Linked DNA regions of Arabidopsis thaliana. The protein of the gene in region 1 interacts with the protein of each later gene in a pairwise test. Each region holds a gene or a part of one and is shown in the gene's direction. Other genes may lie near its edges. The genes, in order: SCR, MGP and AT5G24740.

Region 1 (8,175 bases):
GCGGTGGAGGGAAGAGCTGATTTGAGAGAAGACATACTCCAGACTCTGCTCACGGAATCTGTAGGAGTCGCCATTGCCATGGACATTGGAATCGCCATTAGATTGTGATCCTCTGCAACAAAGCGGATTTTGCTGGTGTTGAATGGATAAGGGATAGAGGAAGAGGACTTTGTTTATCAGAAACCTTTTGATGGGCCTTAATGGGCCTATAAACTGTAACTCTGTAGCGCTTTGCCAACAAGAGACTTTTTAAGGTTTTTGTTGCCAAACAGATATTTGCATTTGGGCTATGTAATGTTAGAATTATTTTATAATGTATGCTATTGCTAGATATTGTTTAAGTGCATTTGTGATTTACAAACATTTCATTTTTATTTTGGTTTTAATGAGCATTTCTATTATAGAGACTTTGATGTTAATAAATGGTGTTCTAAGATATATTAAAATATTTTATATACTTTCTTAAAATTGGATAAATTTTGGGAAAATCCTTAATATCAGTTAAATTGAAGATAAAGAGTATTAAAAAAAACTATGTAGTAAAATACATTTCACATTTTTTGTGTATAATAGTACATGGTATTCGTTAAGATCACTCAAAAATTAACAAATTAAGTCTAAAAGGGCAGAAAAGACTATTCAAATATGGACTTGGAGAAAGACATTCAGCTTTTTACGCTGAGAAACTTTCATATTGAGCCGTGTGTTTGTGTTGTGAAGAGAAGTAATAAAAAATAATTTGAAGTGAAAAAGGAGAAGAAAAAATAAGATCGTAGAAAGCGTGGATGGTTTCTTCTTGGGTTCACTGCCATGCGATTATTAAATTGGCCATGGGGCTAGTGTTTGACGTACAAAAGTCTAAAAATTGTCAGTCAAACAGGTCCAAAACTTTGTAAGAAAAATAATATAATAATAGCAAATTTTCTAAAAATTGTTAAAAAAAGAACAAAAGGGAAAAGATGAGGATGCAGATGAAAGCAAAATGTCAAACACTAGTTTCAGATTTTATCGGGAACTGGGGTTTGACAGTTGGTGTATGTATGTAATGGCCTCTCATCAAAACATGTGCATCTTTTTCCTTTTTTGTTATTTACTGTTTTAGCTCTACGTCTTGTCCAATTCCTCTCAAGTAAAATGCCTTTAATATGATACTAATATACAAGGGGACTAATGCTTTTTCCCTTTTCTTATCCTTGTTTTGTCTAAATCTTTACTTGGATTCCTTTATTTTTCTCCTCTCTTTAGATTAGTACGGTTTAAGGAATACCATCTTTCTAATTTTAGCACAAAATTGCAAGTTGGTGCCCCATCTTAGTAAGCACATCGTACCACACTTTGATTGTGTGAGAGACTTCTTCATCCCATCTCTCATACCAAACCTAAATCAAATGACTAGTGGTGCAACCTGCTGACTCCATATGACCATAACTAATAAATCGGTTTATGAATCCAACTCATGTAGCTCTATAGAATAGAAACCCATTCATTTCACATAATGAACTGAATCTGACATTTTATTTACATCATTTACTACTCAATTTTGTAATTAGCAAGATCATCTTTTTCATTATTCAACAATTTTGATATTCCATAATTTATTAACTTTGTCATACATCATAATATTCTGAAATTTTGTTATATATTGTACCGGTTCCACGAAATAGAGCTCTATTATTATAGACCAAACAAACAAAATATTATCTTCTTGTGGTTAGTTCGAGAGAGAGGTCAAGAAGAAACGAAATGGATCGGCAAACGGAAGACGTCAAACACACAACGACGAACATTTTCCGATCACCCACCTAATCTCTTCCCATTTTTATTATTTTTCAAAACTCAAATTAATTAAGAAGAAAAAAACAGAAACAGAGAGAGAAAGAGTTAAGATGAATAGAGATAGAAAGAGTCATTAAATGTACGAAGCGACATTCACAATAATTCGAAAGGTGGAAGACGACTTAGATACGGCCAGGCTTCACTGTCCTCCTCGTCCTCCTCAATTACCCCTAACCCCTTTTTCCGGGATTCATCTCCAACCCACATCCTTCCAAATTCTCACCCCCTCACTGAGTTTTTGCTTTTTCTCCTCATCGGAGATCGTGAAGACGATCAAGTAATTTAAGAATCCCACCATTGATAAAAGAGTCTAGCTTTTCTACTACCAAACCTTTTTCTGTTTGGAAATTTTCGATTTTGGATTTAACCCTTTTCTTACCTTATTTATAACCATGCAATCTCACGACCAACAACCCTTCAATCTCCATGGCGGAATCCGGCGATTTCAACGGTGGTCAACCTCCTCCTCATAGTCCTCTGAGAACAACTTCTTCCGGTAGTAGCAGCAGCAACAACCGTGGTCCTCCTCCTCCTCCTCCTCCTCCTTTAGTGATGGTGAGAAAAAGATTAGCTTCCGAGATGTCTTCTAACCCTGACTACAACAACTCCTCTCGTCCTCCTCGCCGTGTCTCTCACCTTCTTGACTCCAACTACAATACTGTCACACCACAACAACCACCGTCTCTTACGGCGGCGGCTACTGTATCTTCTCAACCAAACCCACCACTCTCTGTTTGTGGCTTCTCTGGTCTTCCCGTTTTTCCTTCAGACCGTGGTGGTCGGAATGTTATGATGTCCGTACAACCAATGGATCAAGACTCTTCATCTTCTTCTGCTTCACCTACTGTATGGGTTGACGCCATTATCAGAGACCTTATCCATTCCTCAACTTCAGTCTCTATTCCTCAACTTATCCAAAACGTTAGAGACATTATCTTCCCTTGTAACCCAAATCTCGGTGCTCTTCTTGAATACAGGCTCCGATCTCTCATGCTCCTTGATCCTTCCTCTTCCTCTGACCCTTCTCCTCAAACTTTCGAACCTCTCTATCAGATCTCCAACAATCCTTCTCCTCCACAACAGCAACAGCAGCACCAACAACAACAACAACAGCATAAGCCTCCTCCTCCTCCGATTCAGCAGCAAGAAAGAGAAAATTCTTCTACCGATGCACCACCGCAACCAGAGACAGTGACGGCCACTGTTCCCGCCGTCCAAACAAATACGGCGGAGGCTTTAAGAGAGAGGAAGGAAGAGATTAAGAGGCAGAAGCAAGACGAAGAAGGATTACACCTTCTCACATTGCTGCTACAGTGTGCTGAAGCTGTCTCTGCTGATAATCTCGAAGAAGCAAACAAGCTTCTTCTTGAGATCTCTCAGTTATCAACTCCTTACGGGACCTCAGCGCAGAGAGTAGCTGCTTACTTCTCGGAAGCTATGTCAGCGAGATTACTCAACTCGTGTCTCGGAATTTACGCGGCTTTGCCTTCACGGTGGATGCCTCAAACGCATAGCTTGAAAATGGTCTCTGCGTTTCAGGTCTTTAATGGGATAAGCCCTTTAGTGAAATTCTCACACTTTACAGCGAATCAGGCGATTCAAGAAGCATTTGAGAAAGAAGACAGTGTACACATCATTGACTTGGACATCATGCAGGGACTTCAATGGCCTGGTTTATTCCACATTCTTGCTTCTAGACCTGGAGGACCTCCACACGTGCGACTCACGGGACTTGGTACTTCCATGGAAGCTCTTCAGGCTACAGGGAAACGTCTTTCGGATTTCGCAGATAAGCTTGGCCTGCCTTTTGAGTTCTGCCCTTTAGCTGAGAAAGTTGGAAACTTGGACACTGAGAGACTCAATGTGAGGAAAAGGGAAGCTGTGGCTGTTCACTGGCTTCAACATTCTCTTTATGATGTCACTGGCTCTGATGCACACACTCTCTGGTTACTCCAAAGGTAAAATAAACATTACCTTTTAATCACTCTTTATCTATAAATTATTTTAAGATTATATAGGAAAGATATGTTCTAAAAAGTGGCTTTTTTGGTTAATGATTGGGGAATGAACAGATTAGCTCCTAAAGTTGTGACAGTAGTGGAACAAGATTTGAGCCACGCTGGTTCTTTCTTAGGAAGATTTGTAGAAGCAATACATTACTACTCTGCACTCTTTGACTCACTGGGAGCAAGCTACGGCGAAGAGAGTGAAGAGAGACATGTCGTGGAACAGCAGCTATTATCGAAAGAGATACGGAATGTATTAGCGGTTGGAGGACCATCGAGAAGCGGTGAAGTGAAGTTTGAGAGCTGGAGGGAGAAAATGCAACAATGTGGGTTTAAAGGTATATCTTTAGCTGGAAATGCAGCTACACAAGCGACTCTACTGTTGGGAATGTTTCCTTCGGATGGTTACACTTTGGTTGATGATAATGGTACACTTAAGCTTGGATGGAAAGATCTTTCGTTACTCACTGCTTCAGCTTGGACGCCTCGTTCTTAGTTTTCTTCTCCTTTTTCACAAACAATGTGCCCATAAATAGATTTACCTGTTTTTTTTTTGTTATGTATCAAAAAGAGAGGATTTTTTGAAGTCAAATTGTTCTCACTCACACTCTGTATTGGCTACCTGATTGGTGGAATACATAGAAGTTAATCATGAAGATTAGAACACTTGATATTGAAGAAAACACTTGAAAATGGTACATCAATAATAAAAATGATAACACGTTTAACTGAAAAATCATTTACAAATACACAATTCTTTTGAAGGCTACCATTTTTTTTTTTGGGAATTGTTATGTATTTTTTTTTTAGCAACTTGAATTGTTTTGGTTTACTTTTTTCCAAAAAAAAAATATATACATGTTGTTTTTTATTTTTGTTATGGCAAAGAAATTGAGATGTTTGGATTTTTCAATTAAAAAAAAAAAAACTCATCTACGCCTTTTCATATTTCGCTTGAACAACAACGAAACCCTAATCTGGTTAAAGTTGGATTCGGCCAAGTCCACCACCGTGGAGCTCTGAATTCATTTCTCTTGTAATTCATCGATCGCTGTTGAATATTTTCAATTTGAGTTCCCACGGTAGAAACCATTCCGATTTATACGGCTACTTCATCGCTCGAGCTCTCTCGTTTCTGTATCGATCGCAGCGTATCTGATTTGTCACCGGTTTCAGGCTTGTTTCTCTGACCTCTGGTTATCGGCTCCCTGATTTTGCGCTCTATCTATTAATCAATCTCTTATTCCAAGTCTTTGTTCCGCTGTTATCACAGCTCATCTTCATCTTCCATTCACTGGTGTCTTTGGTCCGGCGTCGTTGTGCTGCTTTCAGTTCATCACAGGTATTCTCATTTTTACCTGTTTCTTTTTTATTGAGGATTTCGTGGATGTGACCAGTTCAAGTTTTTTGTATGTTACTTTGTATAGCTTTTAAGACTCGATTACTGAGAATTTAGGCCTAATCGTCAGCTGAAAATATAATGATCTCTACTGTTGTATGCATTCTTCTCGTGCTTTTGTTACTTCATCGCCAATGCATGTTTTTCTACTCTGAGAGTGAGAGAATCTCTAGCTAGTTCCTACAAAGTCTCTTTGTGATCAGTGTTGGGAATTCTTAATTATATATGCATTAAGATATACCTGTCTCAGACTCTATACGTGATTTTCAGGAAAGAGCTTTAAATATTAAGCTTTGAATATTCTCTCAGACCATCAAAGATTTGCTTGGTGCACTGGCCGGAAATGGATCCTAGTCGATATGGTCGTCAGCAAGAATGGGATAATAACAGTGTAATTGTGGTTTTCTCCTTACATATATGGGATGATAAACAAGATATTTTTAGGGATGTTATGAATCTCAACTCATCCGTGGAGTGAGAGACTTGGGAGAGTGAGGATGTGGATGGGATTTGGCTAATGTAATATCCGTCAATGATGTTTGTTGCTGACATAGCTTATTCTCTTCAATTCACAGGCTCCGGAGGGTTATGGTACTCAGCATGATCCAAATCATCGGTGAGTGCTAGTAAAATGGATTACATTGATGTAGTTGTTAATTTGTTATTGCTCATGGGGGTATATTTATTTTAGCTACTGTAACTAAATTGTATTTCTTGTACTTTATTTGGTTTGGTTACTTGTGCCGAAATATTCATGATAGTTCATATTTCATTTTTTTAATATCTTTTCTGTACCTATACTACATTGCTCTTACAGGTTTGGCGTATCATATGATGACGGATATCCTGATGAAAGGTTGATGCGGGATGATGTCTACAACTATCCACCTGGACATAATACTCTGGGTGACTTGCCTCAATCTAGAAAGCGAAACTATGAAGAAAATTATCCCAGTGAACTTCGCAGGCAAGAAAAGCCTTACATCGATTCAAATTATGCTGCTGACTATTATCATGATAGTGAAGCTGGGAGTCGTAATGGACATTACCGTGATCATGAACACGAAAGGTCGTCCAGATATGATGGCTGCGATGACTATTCTTGTAATGATAACAACTATAGATCGAAAAATTACCATCATAGCAGAGATGATGGTCGTGAAAAAGATTATGATTATACTCGCCGAAGTTATGATTCTGAGTATGAAAGGGCCAGTGTGAGAGATGGCAGTCGAAAGAGCCGTGATCCGCAGGACAGAGAACGGAATTCTCGAGATAGAGAATGGGATTCACGTGATAGGGAGTGGGACAAAAGATGTTACAGCCGCGAAAGAGATGAGAGTCCTCATAAGAGATATGAGAAGTCACGATCTCGATCTACCGGACGTGGGGAGTTCTCTAGATCAAGATCTCCTAGAGGTCGGAGCCATGGGCGGAGTTACCGGGAGGACAGCTATGAGGGGGATCACTGGAATGAAAGTGAGAGGCGAAGAGAATATGAAGATAGACATAACCAGGATCATTTTTCTGCTGTATAAAATATTCTCTCATCCCTGGTCTATATTCTTTTGTTGCGAAGACATTTAAAAAATCCGTTCCTATATTTTTATGGTTTTTGCTAGACCCCATCCGCCACTGTTGTTGTGAAGGGTCTCTCTATGAAATCAACAGAAGAAGATCTATACCAGATTCTGGTAAACTCTTCATTTTTTTGAATCTGTATGTCCTCAGGTTTAAACAATTTTTCATGCATGACTTCATTATTCCCATGTGCATGCTAGGCTGAATGGGGTCCTTTGCATCATGTTCGTGTTATTCGGGAGCAAAATTCTGGGATTTCTCGTGGATTTGCTTTTATTGATTTCCCCACGGTGGTATTTGCTTTCAACTAATCTGTTAATTCCTTGCGCTTTTTCTTGTGATTTCTTCAACACTGTGTGCATTTATGTATTTTGTCTGAGCAGGATGCCGCACGCACCATGATGGATAGAATTGAGCATGATGGTATAGTTTTGGATGGAAGGAAACTTATGTTCCATTACAGGTCTTTTTTTAAATAAACATAAGACTTTGATTGATTTAGATATTACCTATGGAGGGATCATAGAATTACTACACATTTAAATTATTGTTTCTTGACCGTTTCAGTATCAGAGTATAACATTCTTACACTAAATTGCGTGTGTTGTAGCAGCCAACCTACTGGTAGGGCTGGTGTGTCCCGTAGGCAGGAACATGCTTCTAGACGCAGTTATGGTGGAAGTCGAAACATGATAGTTCCCACAGATTGGATCTGTACAATCTGTGGCTGTATCAATTTTGCGCGGCGAACCTCTTGCTTTCAGGTTGGTGCATTGTTTTGGATGAAAGTTCTGTAAATTTCATTGTCAGGACTAGAGTATAAACCCATCTGTTAAGAACAGAAATTACATATATTTAATTACCGGAAGAACTACTCATTGTTTGGTGATTCTAGAGTCTCAAACAAAGTGATAACTACTCATGATTTGGTGACGACAATACCTTAAAAAAAATAGAACCGATAAAACTTTCAGAATATATCTGTTTTTTGCTCCTTAGAGATTATTTGCAGTTCCTTTTGGTGACGAATATGTATCATCAATTGACACTTTGTTTGAGACTAGGGTGGCATACATATTTTGGTAGTAATGGTAAATGAACATTTTAATTTAATGTCGACACATTGATGTCCATACCTATGCTAGAATGTATTTGTTTGCATATACAATAGTTTGTTTGGAAATAGAGAAATTTCCATTTTTCAAATGTCAATAAAAAAAGAAGTCAACTAAAACCCTTTAACTGATCTTTTTTGATGGGTTTTTAATTTATCTTTCCTTCTATTTACTTAAACTCTGTGAAGTCTTTATCAATAGTTTAATCTTGTGGTGGACAATTGTATCTGTAGCCCTT
Region 2 (8,366 bases), on another chromosome or scaffold:
GCTTATGTTCATCCGAATTCAAATTCTATGTTATTAAAACAATAATAAAAAACAAAAAATCTTCAAAGATATAGGCAGATTCTGTCGAATCATAATCATAAAATAATACAAATGCATATATTGGATAGGTGTGAGTGGTGATAAGAAAACAATACTAATGTATTTTATAAGAAATTAAGTTTGAAGAAACCATACAAGTGACTGTGACATATTTGATGAGGCCAACAGTCAATCATGAAGCCAATAACATTTTTTTATTACTATATTATATTGCGAAAAAAACAACTTTAAGTAATTATCACCAACTTTTTCTAACATGCTTTTTGCGAGCCCGAATGCATCAACGAACCATTATGGATGAAGGTGGACCAGATTTGACCGTTTGGTAGCAATTTCGATATTTTAACTAGCCTATTCAAATCTCTAACCATATACTATACGTAACATGAAAAATGCCATGTCCTGATCACCATCCAATGATTAGCCGTCAAATAATTCAAGAAAAACCATGGAAAATATATTTATTTTTATATATTTTTGTGAAGAAGATTTGTGAACTTGTAATTTAACTTTCTGAGCTGTATAAGTTATCCTCCATATATATATATATATATATAATTTTAAATATCTTGATAAATTTAAAATTATTTTTTTGATATTAAACGTATCCATATATATATATATATATATTTCATGGATACGTTTAATATCAAAAAAATAATTTTAAATTTATCAAGATATTTATGTACGAAGCAAAGTTCAAATATTTCAAAACAATAAATTTATCTTTTATAACAAAAAAACAATAAATTTAGCTGACCAAATATATGTTACGTTTTGCATCCACCATCATGAAGCACATAGTTAAATCACAAAAATTTATGATTATATCATTTGATACCGTGATTCACGAGAGTCATATACACCTTCGATCACTCTCAACCGGACGGCAAAATTTGTGGTCATACACGTGATTATATATATTAGAAGAAAAAAATGAAAGAATTTTCTTTTGTTAATTGTAATTGCATATTCCGTATTAACTTTTCTCTGAAGTTAGACAAGCCATTACCATCAGATTTAAAGCAATTGATCGTTTGAAACAAATAGTGGCGCCAGTGCTAAAACTAATAAATACATTGAGACTCGAAGCCCAGACTTGGTTAACTCATATATACGCAGATATATACGTTGAATAAATAACTATGATGGACAAATTTTAGTGAATTGTGTAAGATTATACATATTGTAACTGTTGAAGTTTGGTTTGCACTATAGGTGTATAGATAATTGACATTGAAGATTCATATACAGAGACAGTGACCATTTCACTTAACTACCACTTTTCTTTTTTCTCTCCATTAAAATGGAGTAATTAACTACCACTTGATCCTATGTTTAGGTATTACTCTCTTTTTCTCGCTTTGCACTCATGAATAGTTTCTATCAACTTTGTGGAAAATGGTTGGAAAGCTTGACTTTATCTTTTAATTACTTTAGGACCCATTAAAAAGGAATCTTTTAAATATCCCTTTTTTATTAAAGATTTTCACATATAATTGCATGAAACGTAACCTTTTTTTTTATTCGGGTAATAAGAACGTAACCATTTTGTTTATTGGTTCCATAAGCTTGTCAATCTATGAGTATGAGTTTCTCTTATCTGTAAAAAAAGTATACACATGCACTCGTATTTCTAATTTCCTAGCAATTGGAGACGATAAACCCTTTAAAAATAAAAAGCAATTGGAGACGATATATGATGATAAATATGTGAACTATTAAAAAAAAAAAAACTAAATATCAATTTGAAGTTTTGATCACAAATAAAATTTAATACAAAAATTTCCAATTACAATCATGAAATTGCTTTACAAAAAATTTCTATCATTTAAATATATATTAATTGTATCTGTGTTATAAGTAACAATGCATTCCAAGAGTTTAAAATAGAACGGAAAAGGTAAGGTGGTTGGAAAAAAAATCAATAAAAGATATAGAGTGATTTTGATTAGTAGAATGTCGATATCAATTTGACCGAAATTTATTGGATTGGTCAAGTCCGAGTAAAACAAGAAGGCCATTATCATCCACTAAGTGACATATGTATACTTTAAGTCTAATCATATCTCCATTATATTCTTATTTGTATTTCATATATCGCCAAGTTTCTATGCTATGGTATGGATCTAACCTTTGTCTTCTTTGAAATGTCGTTTATTGCATTTTATTTTTTATAGGCATACGTTTAATACAGTATATATATATATATATATATATATATATATAATTGTATACACATTTATTCATGGCTTAGTTTGTACTTTTTATTTTATTTTCCCAAGAATACGTATAGATGGATTCTAGCTAATGTTGTTTTATGTGAATCCATTTTAATACTTTTTGGCCTATGCTAATATTATTCTACATCTACATATGACCACATGAATCTTTGCGTTATAAATATGTGGATGCATCTAGTATATGCACACAAGCTTATGCTGGTGATAATTTTTAACGCAAGTTGCTTACTTGTTGGAATAAAACATTGGTGTAGATCAGTTGAAAATTTGATTAATTAACGTTTGCAGCAGACTAGCTAATCCGTTCTTACACTAATACCATTCAAAAATTAAAATAATAATGGGGTAATATGTGAGTTTCCCCTACACTATCGTGGGTATATATGTAATATATATAGTATATTTTCTACCAAAAAAAAATATATATATATAGTATATTGCGCATTTTATGAACCAAAAGCCTGTGGTATATCTGTAATGTACCCTCTGGATCTAAATCTGTCTTATCAATGTTATTCTCTTTGAGTTTACAATAAAGGAAATGTAGAAAATAACCGAGTAAGTAGTTTAGGTCCGGCAAGAAAAAAAAATGCTCCAATAGTTTTATATATGATGTTGAAATTGATATAGCCAGCTAAATTAAAAATAATTCATATGTATTTAAACTCATGAACTATGTTTAAATATATAAACGACGACCATGGAAACATATGTAAATGTAGACAAAGAATTATTCTTGACTAAATTTGAACTTTTTTATTTGTGTTGATGCGTTATATCTCCACTATCATCATTGTTCACAAATTTTTTTTGAACTATACTCAATTTACAATTATATTGTACAGATTCAAATCAGCATTTCTTTAGAAACTTGAAACATAGGATTTACTATTCGAACTTTATTTAAATATGAGCGGGATAGACCAAATTCAAATAGATAATTATCGTGTAAATTCATTTGTACGTAGGAGCTCTACATAACAAAAAAATTGACATATTTTTGTTTTTGGATACACTCATATGAACGCATCTCTTTATACTTTACAGTAACAAAAAAAAATCCCAGTTTCCCATTTGTGTAAATGCCCATCTGTATATAAATCTTGATTATATAAAGGGAACAATAATATACTATAACAACGTCTCGAAAAATAAGGGAATATTCTTGTGCCGCCAAAGTTCAAGAAGAAAAATCCAAAACTAAAACACTAAACTAATGTTATTATTTTATAGGAATCTTAAAACATGATTACATTATGATTAAAGTGTAAATTACCTAAAGAATTGGTAATTAAGTCAGCCCACAAGCTGACGACTTCTCTTCCTTCCAAAAATTCACCTGCATTTTGTCAGTTCTCTGTCTCTTCGTACTTTCGATTAATTAACTAACCATAATTATCTTACTTTCAGCTAGGGGTAAATAAAAAAGCACATTTAGTTTACTTTTCTTTGAAAATCGATATGATCGAGATTTTGATATGGTCGAATTGTTTACCGTTTTTTTTCATCTACAATATTATTTTATATATAGGATTTTATCCAAATTATAACACGATAATAATAATAGACTAGTTTATACAACTCCGATACATATGCTCAGTCTTAGGATAATAAACTACAAAATAAATTTTCAATTAAAATTTTGGTATGAGTTTATAATAGTTATGATCTCCGAGAGAAAATTTACTAGCTTGCACATATATAGTAGGTTAGAATTACTTTTTTGGTTCAATCTTTTTTTTTTTAATGGGATTTCGAGTTCTGATCTTTTTTAAAAATAAGTTAAGATTCTATTTTTTTTTAAAAAAATACGTTAGAAAATACTTTCATTTGTAGGGCGAGAAAAAGTTTGCTAAAGAAAAAGACGAATAGGGAGCATTGCAAAAAGATCTTTGTAAGAAAAAGCATGAACAAGATACTCGTACGTATCTACTAACTTCTCTTATACTCAATTCCACAAACATGAATTTTTTCACAATTATTAATATCGAAATTAGCAATTTTTTTGTTTTTGTCAAAGGAAAATTAACAATTTTTTGAAGGAAAATCGAATATCAAAACGAAAATTTGAAGTGGGGTACTTGACGGGAAGAGTTCGCATGGTTTTCGTTTTCACTGTCGACCGGACGATTATTCTCTTTTGCATATTTAGGTTTTTAATTTCGTTGTCGTATGTTGTTGGATTTTACCTCACGAGCACGTGCATGGGTACACGTGCATTGCAGGCTTTGTTCTCAACAATAAACGAGAGATGTGACCTGCGCCGTTGGATCTGTTTACTTCTTTGACCGCCTCAATTTACGGTCAAATTAAAATCTCAAATTATATACACCATGACTGTGCTTTATATACGACTTTCTACTAAAAATAACATTAAGAGAAACTATAAGGAGAAGAACAATTAAAGAAGTTAATTTTACCTGAGGATGATGAAAAAAAGAACGGAGAAAAGAAATAATGAGATCATCATTCCAAATAGAAAAAGGCAGACATAGAAACTTTTGTGTGTGTCATGACGCACTGCCACTGAAAAACCAAATAATCAAATATTTCCAGATAAATATAGTTAATTTCCACCGCCATTAACTTTTAACTGCGAAATATAAATAAAATGGGAAAAATATATGAAAGTTTAATAATTTATGACAATAGCTGCGACAGTTCTTACAGATCAAGGTGCTTATATTTTTTTGTTTGAAAGAAAGAGGAATATTATTTTTTAGTACACATATGGGGCTTAAGTGTGTAGGGTGTATATATAAAGTGATCACCCAATATAACTTATCTTTTGTGTTTGCCTCTCATTCATAACTACATCAGATTCTAAGTATTTCTATTTATTTTCTCTTCATTACCTTTGCTCATCCTCCATCTCTTATTTAAAACTTAATTAATTACCTTTTCAATCTCTTCCAACAAAACTTTTGTCCAAGAAGAAGACATGACAACTGAAGATCAGACAATTTCAAGTAGTGGAGGATATGTCCAAAGCTCATCAACAACTGATCATGTTGATCATCATCATCATGATCAACATGAATCCCTCAATCCTCCTCTTGTCAAGAAGAAGAGAAACCTCCCTGGAAATCCTGGTAACAATTAATTAAGTTTAATAGAGATCACAAAATAATTCAACCCTAATCAACATTTTTTTTTCTGTTTGCTGAAAAGTCATGTTCTTTTTTTTTTCGATCTTGATCTACAAACATGCATGCTTTCTACTGTTTAGATCTTTCACATGATCAAATATGTATCCAGAATTTGATTGTTATATTTCGTTCTCTATAGATCCAGAAGCTGAGGTCATAGCTCTATCTCCAAAGACACTTATGGCCACAAATCGTTTCCTCTGCGAGATATGTGGAAAAGGGTTTCAAAGAGACCAGAATCTACAGCTTCACCGTCGAGGACACAACCTCCCATGGAAGCTAAAGCAGAGGACGAGCAAAGAAGTAAGGAAACGAGTGTATGTATGTCCAGAAAAGAGTTGCGTCCACCACCATCCGACGAGGGCACTTGGTGATCTTACCGGCATTAAGAAACATTTTTGTCGGAAACATGGCGAGAAAAAGTGGAAGTGTGAGAAATGCGCCAAGAGATATGCAGTCCAATCTGACTGGAAGGCTCATTCCAAGACTTGTGGGACTAGAGAATATAGATGCGACTGTGGTACAATTTTCTCCAGGTACTTAGTGTATATCTACACACGTACGTACTAATAGATGATCTTTACATTTCCTCATCACGGTATCATATATTTTTAGTGGCGTAACAAATATTTTGATCACCTAGCTGTAAGCGCATATCATGTTTAATTGCATTATATATAGATTCAAATATGATTTTAACTTCTTAACCAGTAAAGTTAATCATGTTTGAATATATTAGAATATAGGAAGAATATATATATACTTATATACATATCTTAAAACTCATACTAAACCTAGCTAGAGCTTATATTTTACCGGGTGAATACTATGATGAAAAACAAAAAAAAAACGAATCTGTTACCTCAACTAACACTACTGTACCACTGGACCACACAAACAAATTTCGTTTTACCACGTTGTTTGTAAGTAAATAAGATTTTTTTTTTTTTTTTTGTGAAACAATTTGTAAGTAAATAAGATACATGTTTTTTGTTGGAAGTAGTAGCTCATGTAGGGTCTAAAACAAAATAATTTGGAGTTACTTTTGTATAGATATTGCCATATTGGTCATTCTCTGAGCATACGTGCTGCTTGATTTCTTGAATAAGACAGTTTCTTGGATTGACATATTTTGGTTAAAGTAAGATATACAACTTTATTTATCTTTTTTTCCTTAATTGCTATCTATATTACTATATACATACATATTAAACACAAGCATAAATTAGCGAGTGTGTATAGACGATATTGATCTTATTGGTGTGTATAATTTGGTCAACAGGAGAGACAGCTTCATTACACATAGAGCGTTCTGTGACGCTTTAGCAGAAGAAACCGCTAGGCTAAACGCAGCCTCGCATCTCAAAAGCTTTGCCGCAACCGCTGGTAGTAATCTAAACTATCATTATCTCATGGGGACACTTATCCCATCACCATCACTACCACAACCACCGTCGTTTCCGTTCGGACCACCGCAACCGCAACATCATCACCACCACCAATTCCCAATCACAACCAACAACTTCGATCATCAAGACGTCATGAAACCAGCGTCTACGCTCTCTTTATGGTCGGGAGGAAATATTAATCATCATCAGCAAGTGACCATCGAGGACCGTATGGCGCCGCAGCCGCATTCACCGCAAGAGGATTACAATTGGGTTTTCGGAAACGCGAATAATCACGGCGAGTTAATAACGACGAGCGATTCACTCATTACTCATGACAATAATATTAATATCGTCCAGAGTAAGGAAAACGCTAACGGGGCAACTTCTCTTTCCGTGCCTTCTCTTTTTAGCAGCGTTGACCAAATTACCCAAGACGCAAACGCTGCTTCTGTGGCTGTTGCAAATATGTCGGCGACTGCGTTACTCCAAAAAGCTGCTCAGATGGGAGCGACTTCTTCTACGTCACCAACGACGACGATTACTACCGACCAATCAGCGTATCTTCAGAGTTTTGCATCGAAGAGTAATCAGATTGTAGAAGATGGTGGCAGCGACAGGTTCTTTGCTTCGTTTGGATCGAACAGTGTCGAGTTAATGAGTAATAATAATAACGGTCTTCACGAGATCGGGAACCCTAGAAACGGCGTTACGGTCGTTTCGGGGATGGGTGAATTACAGAATTACCCTTGGAAGCGTAGAAGAGTTGATATTGGGAATGCGGGAGGAGGAGGGCAAACTCGGGATTTTCTTGGGGTTGGTGTACAAACAATATGCCATTCTTCCTCTATCAATGGATGGATTTGAAACACTCTTTAATGGATTTTTCTACCTTATTTATGAGTGAACTTAATTATCAAAGCTGATTTCTTTAATTAATTTTAAAAATGATTTATTTCACCAGACCAAAATCATAAATTAATTTTACGATCGATTGTGGTTATTAGATTTATCGTATCTTCTCAAATTCAAAATGATCACCTACGTCTCAAAATTTACTCTTCCATCAGATTTTTGCTAAATTTAGGTCAACTAGTCTATACTTGTAGTACTCTTCTTATTTTATTTTTTCAATTTATAGACTACACTAGACACAAGTATAATGTAGTGTGATTCACATATTGGTATTATTATATGAGCATTTTCGTTGAAGAATTTTTTTTTTTTTTTCGTTGAAGAAAAGTTAAGATTCATTCATATTCACTATGTGTAGAAAGGTGTTTGATATGCTTTTTTAAAAATAAATAAGTACTTAATCAATTGTATGTATTTTGTATATATGCCATAGAAAAAGTGTGGATCGAGAAGTGGTGGGCACACAAGAAAAACATGAAGGCTTTTGAGCTCAATAATTCTAAACTTAACTTGCAGGGCAATTCATAGTGGAGGAAAACATTAAGAAATGAAAAATGAAGAGAGATAGAAAAATAAAAGAGAAAAGATTTTCTTTAAAGAATAGCTAATAA
Region 3 (7,683 bases), on another chromosome or scaffold:
GGGTAGAGACTAATTGAATGTAACAGATTCACAGTTAAAGATGACTCGCAGTTTTTTTTCTGCCTTGAGAACACATTATAAAATCTCAGTCTAATCGTCATTGACCTGGAAAAGCTTCGTTCTCTGCGTTTCACTGCATCCATTTTTTTCTTATTAACAGATTACTGGCCATTGAGCGTTCGAGTCTGCGGCTTTTGGTTTCTGCCCAATGAATGGCAGTTTTCATGCAACGAGTGTGGAGACAATCCTTTTGCAGGGCGCCTGGGTACAGACGATTCACATACATGCTCAAACCACACTGAGTTATATACATTTATATCGTCTTGTGAGCCAGCTCTGCCTATCTTTGTAGGGTTGAGTTCTGTTGGAAGGTCTAAATTTAAGTTGATCTCTCTGCATCATTTCTGATTATGTTTTCAACACCTTTGGCGTCAGAAAAAAACTGAGACTTATTCTGTCAGATATTTAACGCATGCTGAATTAGTGTACGGTAGTGATTGTTCTCTTTGCTTTTGCAGCATGGGCTTTGTAAGGGATCCCATAGCCTTTCTTCGAGTTCTCCAATCTGTTATTCAGATTACAGGTTACAGATTTATCATTTTCACAGCTAGTTATGGACCTTTAGATGCAGCAATTAGGACCATTGCTAATGGATCAGATTCAAGTGAGAAACAACCGTTACATGCGGGAATCTCTATTTTCAACGGCAAGCTTTTCTGCTTCTCTGGGTGAGCACCAATTTGCCCAATATTTAGTTGGCGATCTACACTGTGGCCATATAACTTTCTTAATTCGTTGTCTCTCTGAATTAGTATGGTGCCATACAACTGGATGTTCCGAACATGCGCTGCAGCGATTCATCACGGTGGCAGGTAAAAATGTCACATGGATATCTTTTCTTGGTGAGCATGGACACACATATAAATAGACGTGAACTGATTTTTTCTTGTCTTTCTATATGAATTGTGTCCCCTGTGGAAATCAGCGGTTCTGTTGCTGCAGCATTACAGGCTGGAATCCCGCAGGTTTGTGTTTGTATGTTAGTTTATTAGATCTTTGATATATAAGGGTAAAACTAATTGTTTGTCGAGAAGGATCAGTAGAAATATAGCTGTACAGTAACCAGTACATCAGAAGAACATGTCATGGTCCTTCAATAAACTTTATTGCTATATGATTACTCAGCCAAAAACTTTACTAGTAATTTTGCTCATAAACCATAGTTTTGTGCACTGCTTGGTTACAAAATGATGATTAACGTTCTTAAAGCGTTATCCATTTCAAGTTGTAATGCCAAAAAGTGACCACATAATGTGTGTATATGTCTTTTTACAGATCATATGCCCATTTATGCTGGATCAGTTCTATTGGGCAGAAAAGATGTCTTGGCTTGGAGTTGCTCCTCAACCATTGAAAAGAAACCACCTGCTTCTAGAGGACTCAAATGATGAGAAGAACATCACGGAAGCTGCACAAGTGGTAGCGAAAGCCATATACGATGCACTGTCTGCAAAGACTAGGGCTCGTGCCATGGAAATTGCTGAAATATTATCTCTTGAGGTAACTATTTACGATCAGTTTACTATTCTTCTCCTCCTGATCCATGCCCCCAGAATCAAAGTATCCTTTCTTCACATGGAGTTTTTCTTTTCTTTTCGATGTAGCGTAGTCTTTTCTCTTTCATAGTTTTGAGTAATTTCTGGCAACTGGTAGTTTTAAGGTATCCAAAAATTAATGATTTCAGGATGGAGTCACAGAAGCTGTGAGAGTGCTTAGAGAAGAGGTGTGTGTAGTTTCAGGCAGCAACCGAATATTTTGATGAGCATTGTCATATATACAACGTAAAGCTCATATCAAGTGATGGTGATCAATGCCCTACCGATTGTTGGCATCCATAAATTTAACGTCTATTAATGTTACCAAGTCTCCATCTGTCCCAATATAAAAGACGTTTAAGGATTTTCTCTTTTATTCCATTTTATTAGTTTTCTCTAGTTTCTATGTACAATTTATATCATTTTATGACTACTTAAATTGTACAATATTTATTTCTATTAGTTGAAATTTTATAAATGAAAAAACATCTATGATTTCTTTATCTTTGGATTAAAATATATAAGACATCATATAATTGTTTTCCATTTAACTAAAATCAGTTTTAGAGATTTGAATGTTTTAAAAAGTTTGTGATTTTTTTTTTTTTTTGTGGGTCAAAAGAGTGCTAACTTTATTATATCATATAGAGCCATTACAAACTAGTACAAGCCTGAAAGTTTAGCGGGAGACTCAAACCCGAGAGTTTACGAGAAGCCTAAAGAGAATTACAAACAAAAGACACACAAAAATGGGTAAAACATACCCACATAACTAAGTTTTTAAACGATCTTAGCAAACTGGAAAGAAACAGATCAAACTAACAAGGAACTAATAGTAAGAGAAATTCCAATACAAAATAAAATACTAAGAAGAGAAAAACTGAATCTCTCGCTTAACCATCATCCCCATTAACCTTTACATTTAACGTGTGACATGGCGAAGCCATGAGTGCAATCCCATCAACCCACAATCAACCCGAAACTTCTACAAGAGCCTCAAACATCGAAGCCATGAGTCCCAAAAATTTGCGAGTTTCAAATCCCTTAAATAAGAGCCAATTAGCGTATTAGCCGGTTAGCGTAATCAAATTTGCAAAAATTGGGAAATTTTGGTCTGACCCGGTTCGGTTTGAAAGGTACGAAACCGAAAGAAATATTCGTCTTGTGATTGTGAAGAAGAAAGAAGACAAGTCTTTGTTTCGTCGACGGGAAAGAAAAACCCTACGATATTCCTCGACTCGTTTACACTTCTCCGACCACCGTCTCTTTCCTTCTTCTCCCGACGGAGTAAAATTCGTTATCGCGTTTTGAATCACCGGATTATGAAATAGCGATTGAAAGATGCTTGAAGGATATGTGCAAGGATTTGTGAACCTGTTGTTAGGGTACTTAGGTCGTTACATTAAAGACATCCAGAAAGACCAGCTCAAGATCTCACTCTGGAATGGTATTTTCACCGTCTTCTCTTTCCATTTTCCGTTTCAACGAACACCACAATCTCCCACTGTATTTGATGATTTACGCACAATTTCTTGCTTCTAACTGCAGGAGAAGTCTTATTGGAGAACGTGGAATTGAATCCTGAGGCGTTTGAGTATTTGCAGCTTCCAATTGCTCTCAAGCAAGGTGATAGTTAGTGGATTGAAGTTTCGATTCTGTCAGCTTTTTTTCGTTTTCTCGGGATCAAATCGTTTATTGTTTATATAGGCCGTGTTGGGAAATTGAGCATTAAAATTCCATGGAAGAAACTTCATAGGGATCCTGTAACCATTATGATTGAAGATGTCTTTATATGTGCATCGCAACGCAATGATCAAGAGGTGATTACTCTTGTTTAGTAGCCCTTTTCTACATGAAAGTGTTTGCCTCTAAAACCATATATGTATATTGCTTGGTCATTGCAGTGGAGTTCAGATGTCGTTGAGAAAAGAGAGTTTGCTGGTAAGAAAGCTAAACTTGCTTCTGCAGAACTGGCAAAATTGTCCAGGCGTGTCTTCGGTGAGCAAATATACTTCTTGTCCTACAAAATTTATCTTTCCTATACAAAATTTGTTGAGTTCCTTCATTTTTTTTCCCAGACAATCCAGGCGGAAATTCTTATATGTCATATATTACTGCCAAGGTAACATTACGTTCCGCAATCCTCCTTTTGCTACCTCTAGTTAATCATCTTACATTTTTCATATTATGATTGATCTGTTACTGGTTTTTAGTAGATCTTCCTGATTTTGGATGAGGTTATCAATCTTATTTATTTTATTTTTTTCTACTATGTTAACGTTCCTTCTTTCTTGGCTTAGATTCTTGATAGCGTTCAAGTGTCCATCAAAAATTTTCACATCTTATACTCAGATGCACAACCTGAATCGGTAAGTCTCTTGCTTGTTCAGTTTAATTAGTTTGCTAGAATATAGGCTTGTATTTTGTTATCCTCCCATTGATATTGTTGAAACTTATATACATCGATCATATCGTAGTATTGGTTTGTTTGTGAGAGCATAGCATTTATCATGGAGGATATGTATCTAGATAGAGTCAAATATATTTGAGCATTGTGATGCTAAACTACTATCAGTCTTTCTTGTGATTCACTAGAATATAACTTGAATAATCGTTTGGTGTTGTCTACTTTCCCACTTTCATATGTTTTTACTCTAAACTGCTGTCACAGGGGCAAGTTGTATTAGGATTGCGGTTTTCAAGCTTGACAGTTACTAAACAAAACTCAGTTGGGTAATCTCTTTATGCACCTTCTCTTGCACTTTTAAATGTACTCCACTTTGTGTTTGATTCCGAGCTTTGCTTTATATATGGCAAGGATATGTTCTTTGAATTACATTGTGAGACAGCAGAGAGCAGACCCCGCATTAATTTCTTTCCAGTTGCCTTGTTTCTTCTATGTCACTTAATATATATTCTAGTTTCGTATTTGATTCCTTGTAGCTTTGCTTTATTCTATTGGTTTGGCGATACCCCATTATAACTTTCTTCCAACTGTCTCTTTTCTTACTGTAAAATCTCCTTAAACCTGTTTTTTCCATAAGCTAAATTATTGTTGATAAGACAAGACCTGTGGTGGATATATGTGCTTCCTGAAATATTTGACATGATGTCTCTGTTGAATATCAGGCCATCAGTTGGTAGGGTGAGAGGGGGGCAAGTGAATATACTTGTGGAGGTTGAAGGTTTGGAAATATATTGTGACATGTATGAGGGAAACATGGACTTTCCAAGTGTTAATGAAAAAATAGGTTTTGACAATTGGTGCCAGTCAAGATTGCAAAGCAATAGATTTGGTTATTTACTGAAGCCAGTCCATGTTTCTGTAACGCTATTGGTAATGGATCTAAAACAGCGTCATTGGTTTGCTGTCTCTTAACATCTTTTGTTATCATCTAATCTTTGTTGCTGCTTCAAGGTGCTACATCCTTGCTCTTGCTTTAGGGTTATGTTAAAAATGAGATGTACACATTTATATGTTATATCTGCCGTACTGAGTCTTGATTTACCTGATGGCCTACGAAATTTTGATGACATATTAATCAATCAATGTTATCAGAAAGGATTTGCATAACATTTTTGCCAATTCGTTTATATGTCACCATCAGCTCCATATGGACATTGTGTTTGGTGAAAGATTTTTACAGCTATCTGATCAATGATACAATATTTATACAGAAAGTAAATTGGTCTATGCATCAGCTATTGCTTGAGTGCATTTTTGTGCTGTATGTAAATAGGCATTCTTCATTTTGCCTGATATACTTCTTTGCATAGGTCAATCGATCTGGAGAGCTTTATGACGATCTTCCTCAGTATTCTATCAGCGCTGAGTTGACTGATGTGGTTAGTTCTCAGAAATTGCTAAACTAGGTTCAGAGCTCAGATTTATTTACCATTTCATGACTCACTCTAACTTCCAATTGGCACTGATGCGTTTTAGGTGGTGACTCTGAATGAATTTCAATTGCAGCAGATTCTTATTCTGTTAGATTATTTGCAAACCAGCCAGTTGCGTGAGAGGTAAGCTTTCATTAGGGTAGCGATAATTTTTCCTCAATTCAAACTTTTTTTCCTCCTGAGATTTAGCTCTATTATTGGATACTACAGAACGTTTTTTTGAAGAACTACTGATTAAAGAACCTTTTAAATGGTATAGGTATGGGCGGTATCGTCCCTGCTCCACTTCTTTATCGAGGAAACCACCTGGATGGCAGAAACTTTGGTGGCACTATGCCCAAAATTCAGTTTTATCTGATGTACGGAAGAAACTGTGGAAAACTTCATGGAGATTTCTTGAACAGCGAATGTAAGTTTACGTTGCTTACATCATTTCTTTTCTTTTAATTAGATGATGCTTAATAGCTATTACAATTTTGATTTCTCGTAAAACTTCTGCATACTTTACTTCCACGCAAATAACTTACTGTTTCATGGCATAAGTAGACAAATACTCCTGGAATGTATTCAAGCGGTCTGCTCACTTTTAGATTTTTGTTTCGGCGAAAAAATACAGGAGAATCCGCAGGAGGTATATCAACTTCTACAAGATAAAGCTAGATCTCCTTCTCAGAGAACAGGCAAGGATCTTATTTTCCTCCTTACCTGATTAGAAGTGTCAGGGTTTGTTCATTATGTTGCAATGTGTCCTCCTATTTGTTTAACTGCATGAACTTGCCTAACCCAGCCTGTTGGATTCTATGTAGATATAGGAAGCCTTATTAGTTTTAGGTGATTTTACATAACTAGGGAGCATCTCATGAGGTGGTTTTTCATTTCGATGTGTTTTGTCCTACTACTGCAAAATGTAAATGAATGGATAGTGGTAAGGAGATGGTTTAGAAGCACATTTCACATCATATAAGTCTATCAGGGAGCATATTATGAGGTGATTAATCATCTGGTTGTGTTCTAAGAATGCGTAATTAACTAGAAGATGATTTAGAAGCATATTTAAATACGGGCTGCCATTATTTTAAAATCTTATATCTTAGCACGTGCTTCCGTATGTATGCAAAAGGTAGACGGGTAGTGAATTTTTCTTAGCTTGGCGCGCTTGCTTCCCTCTAAAGAAGCACGGTTTATTCTGTTTTATTTCATAGGTAGCTGTAGCAGTGTAGGGAACTTTTAAAATTGTTGGAATATTGAAATCAGAGGTAGAAATTGTAGAATACTTGGTCTAAGCGTCATCATACATTTCAAAAAATATGGAAATTGAAGAAACATTTCTCTTCTTCTAACATCAATAAAGTACTCTATAGGAGGTTATCATCGTAAAAATGTAGTTGTTCTGAAATCGCTGACTGAAAGAAATACATATGTTCTCGTCCCTAAACTTTTTGTTGCTTAGCCATAGTCTCCATCATATATATGTTGCTAAGATGCTTTACGGTCGACATATTTGTACATATTTTGTTCAACTAATGCGCGTAACCTTCATAACATTCAAATGAATTGGTGTATTATATATATTTCTTCTATAGCATTTTCAAACCTGAGTTGTTCTTGTCATGTGGCTTCTCTACTAATATGTCTGTGCTATATGCTTCTGGCTACAGTCAATCGATAAGTCCATCCGTTTGGGTTTGGAAGAATTGGAGAAGAAGTCTGATATTGATGATATCTTAAGTTATAGGTCTGCAGCGGAAGGTGAGATGCAGGTATGGTAAATTAGGTTGCTGTTGTAGCAATTTATACTTTGGCTGTGATACCAAAGTCTGTTCAGATATCTGCCATAAGTTGATGCCCTAGCAATGGCAATTTCTTATCTGTCCTTTTACCTTGGATCTTACTATGCAGGAAGCTTGCTCAGAATTGACAGTAAACATGGGAGCGACTGGTGCCACTAGATCCGAAAAGGAACAGAGTGCCCCTGAAAAGGAACCGAGTGACGATCCTACATTAAATAAGTCGCGTGGGTGGTTGAACTGGTTGTCACGGGGAATGCTTGGTGCCGGAGGCACAGAGGATTCAAGTCAGTTTTCTGGTGTTGTTTCTGATGAAGTTGTCAAGGTATTTTAAGTACTAATTAATAGCAGTAGAGTTTCAGAATTCTAGAATTCTTCGAAACATCCTAGTAACTGTTCAT

Evidence for each region.
Region 2: the proteins of SCR (region 1) and MGP interact in binary tests that used the Arabidopsis thaliana proteins (3 or more experiments, as listed by UniProt).
Region 3: the proteins of SCR (region 1) and AT5G24740 interact in a protein complementation assay, tested with the Arabidopsis thaliana proteins (one study listed by BioGRID).

What each region holds. Positions count from the first base shown.
Region 1 is NC_003074.8:20,068,288-20,076,462, forward strand, and holds SCR (GRAS family transcription factor), read left to right. Parts: upstream 1-1,699; 5' UTR 1,700-2,262; coding exon 2,263-3,794; intron 3,795-3,908; coding exon 3,909-4,338; 3' UTR 4,339-4,591; downstream 4,592-8,175. Other genes in the region: AT3G54210 (Ribosomal protein L17 family protein), read right to left, coding at 1-98; SUA (suppressor of abi3-5), read left to right, coding at 5,585-5,632, 5,817-5,857, 6,059-6,773, 6,864-6,935, 7,023-7,115, 7,206-7,285, 7,433-7,586. UniProt on the Arabidopsis thaliana protein: Transcription factor required for quiescent center cells specification and maintenance of surrounding stem cells, and for the asymmetric cell division involved in radial pattern formation in roots.
Region 2 is NC_003070.9:966,937-975,302, reverse strand, and holds MGP (C2H2 and C2HC zinc fingers superfamily protein), read left to right. Parts: upstream 1-4,968; 5' UTR 4,969-5,244; coding exon 5,245-5,395; intron 5,396-5,591; coding exon 5,592-5,988; intron 5,989-6,734; coding exon 6,735-7,707; 3' UTR 7,708-7,833; downstream 7,834-8,366. UniProt on the Arabidopsis thaliana protein: Transcription factor that regulates tissue boundaries and asymmetric cell division. Contributes to the sequestration of 'SHORT-ROOT' to the nucleus. Interacts with the SCR and MGP promoters.
Region 3 is NC_003076.8:8,484,957-8,492,639, reverse strand, and holds the start of AT5G24740 (vacuolar protein sorting-associated protein, putative (DUF1162)), read left to right. Parts: upstream 1-2,772; 5' UTR 2,773-2,936; coding exon 2,937-3,042; intron 3,043-3,143; coding exon 3,144-3,221; intron 3,222-3,302; coding exon 3,303-3,415; intron 3,416-3,499; coding exon 3,500-3,593; intron 3,594-3,673; coding exon 3,674-3,717; intron 3,718-3,895; coding exon 3,896-3,964; intron 3,965-4,266; coding exon 4,267-4,328; intron 4,329-4,616; exon of another isoform or gene 4,617-4,701; coding exon of another isoform or gene 4,702-4,724; coding exon 4,725-4,932; intron 4,933-5,372; coding exon 5,373-5,441; intron 5,442-5,538; coding exon 5,539-5,618; intron 5,619-5,754; coding exon 5,755-5,904; intron 5,905-6,111; coding exon 6,112-6,175; intron 6,176-7,153; coding exon 7,154-7,255; intron 7,256-7,394; coding exon 7,395-7,607; intron 7,608-7,683. Other genes in the region: AT5G24750 (UDP-Glycosyltransferase superfamily protein), read left to right, coding at 161-371, 519-728, 813-872, 986-1,025, 1,336-1,560, 1,745-1,819.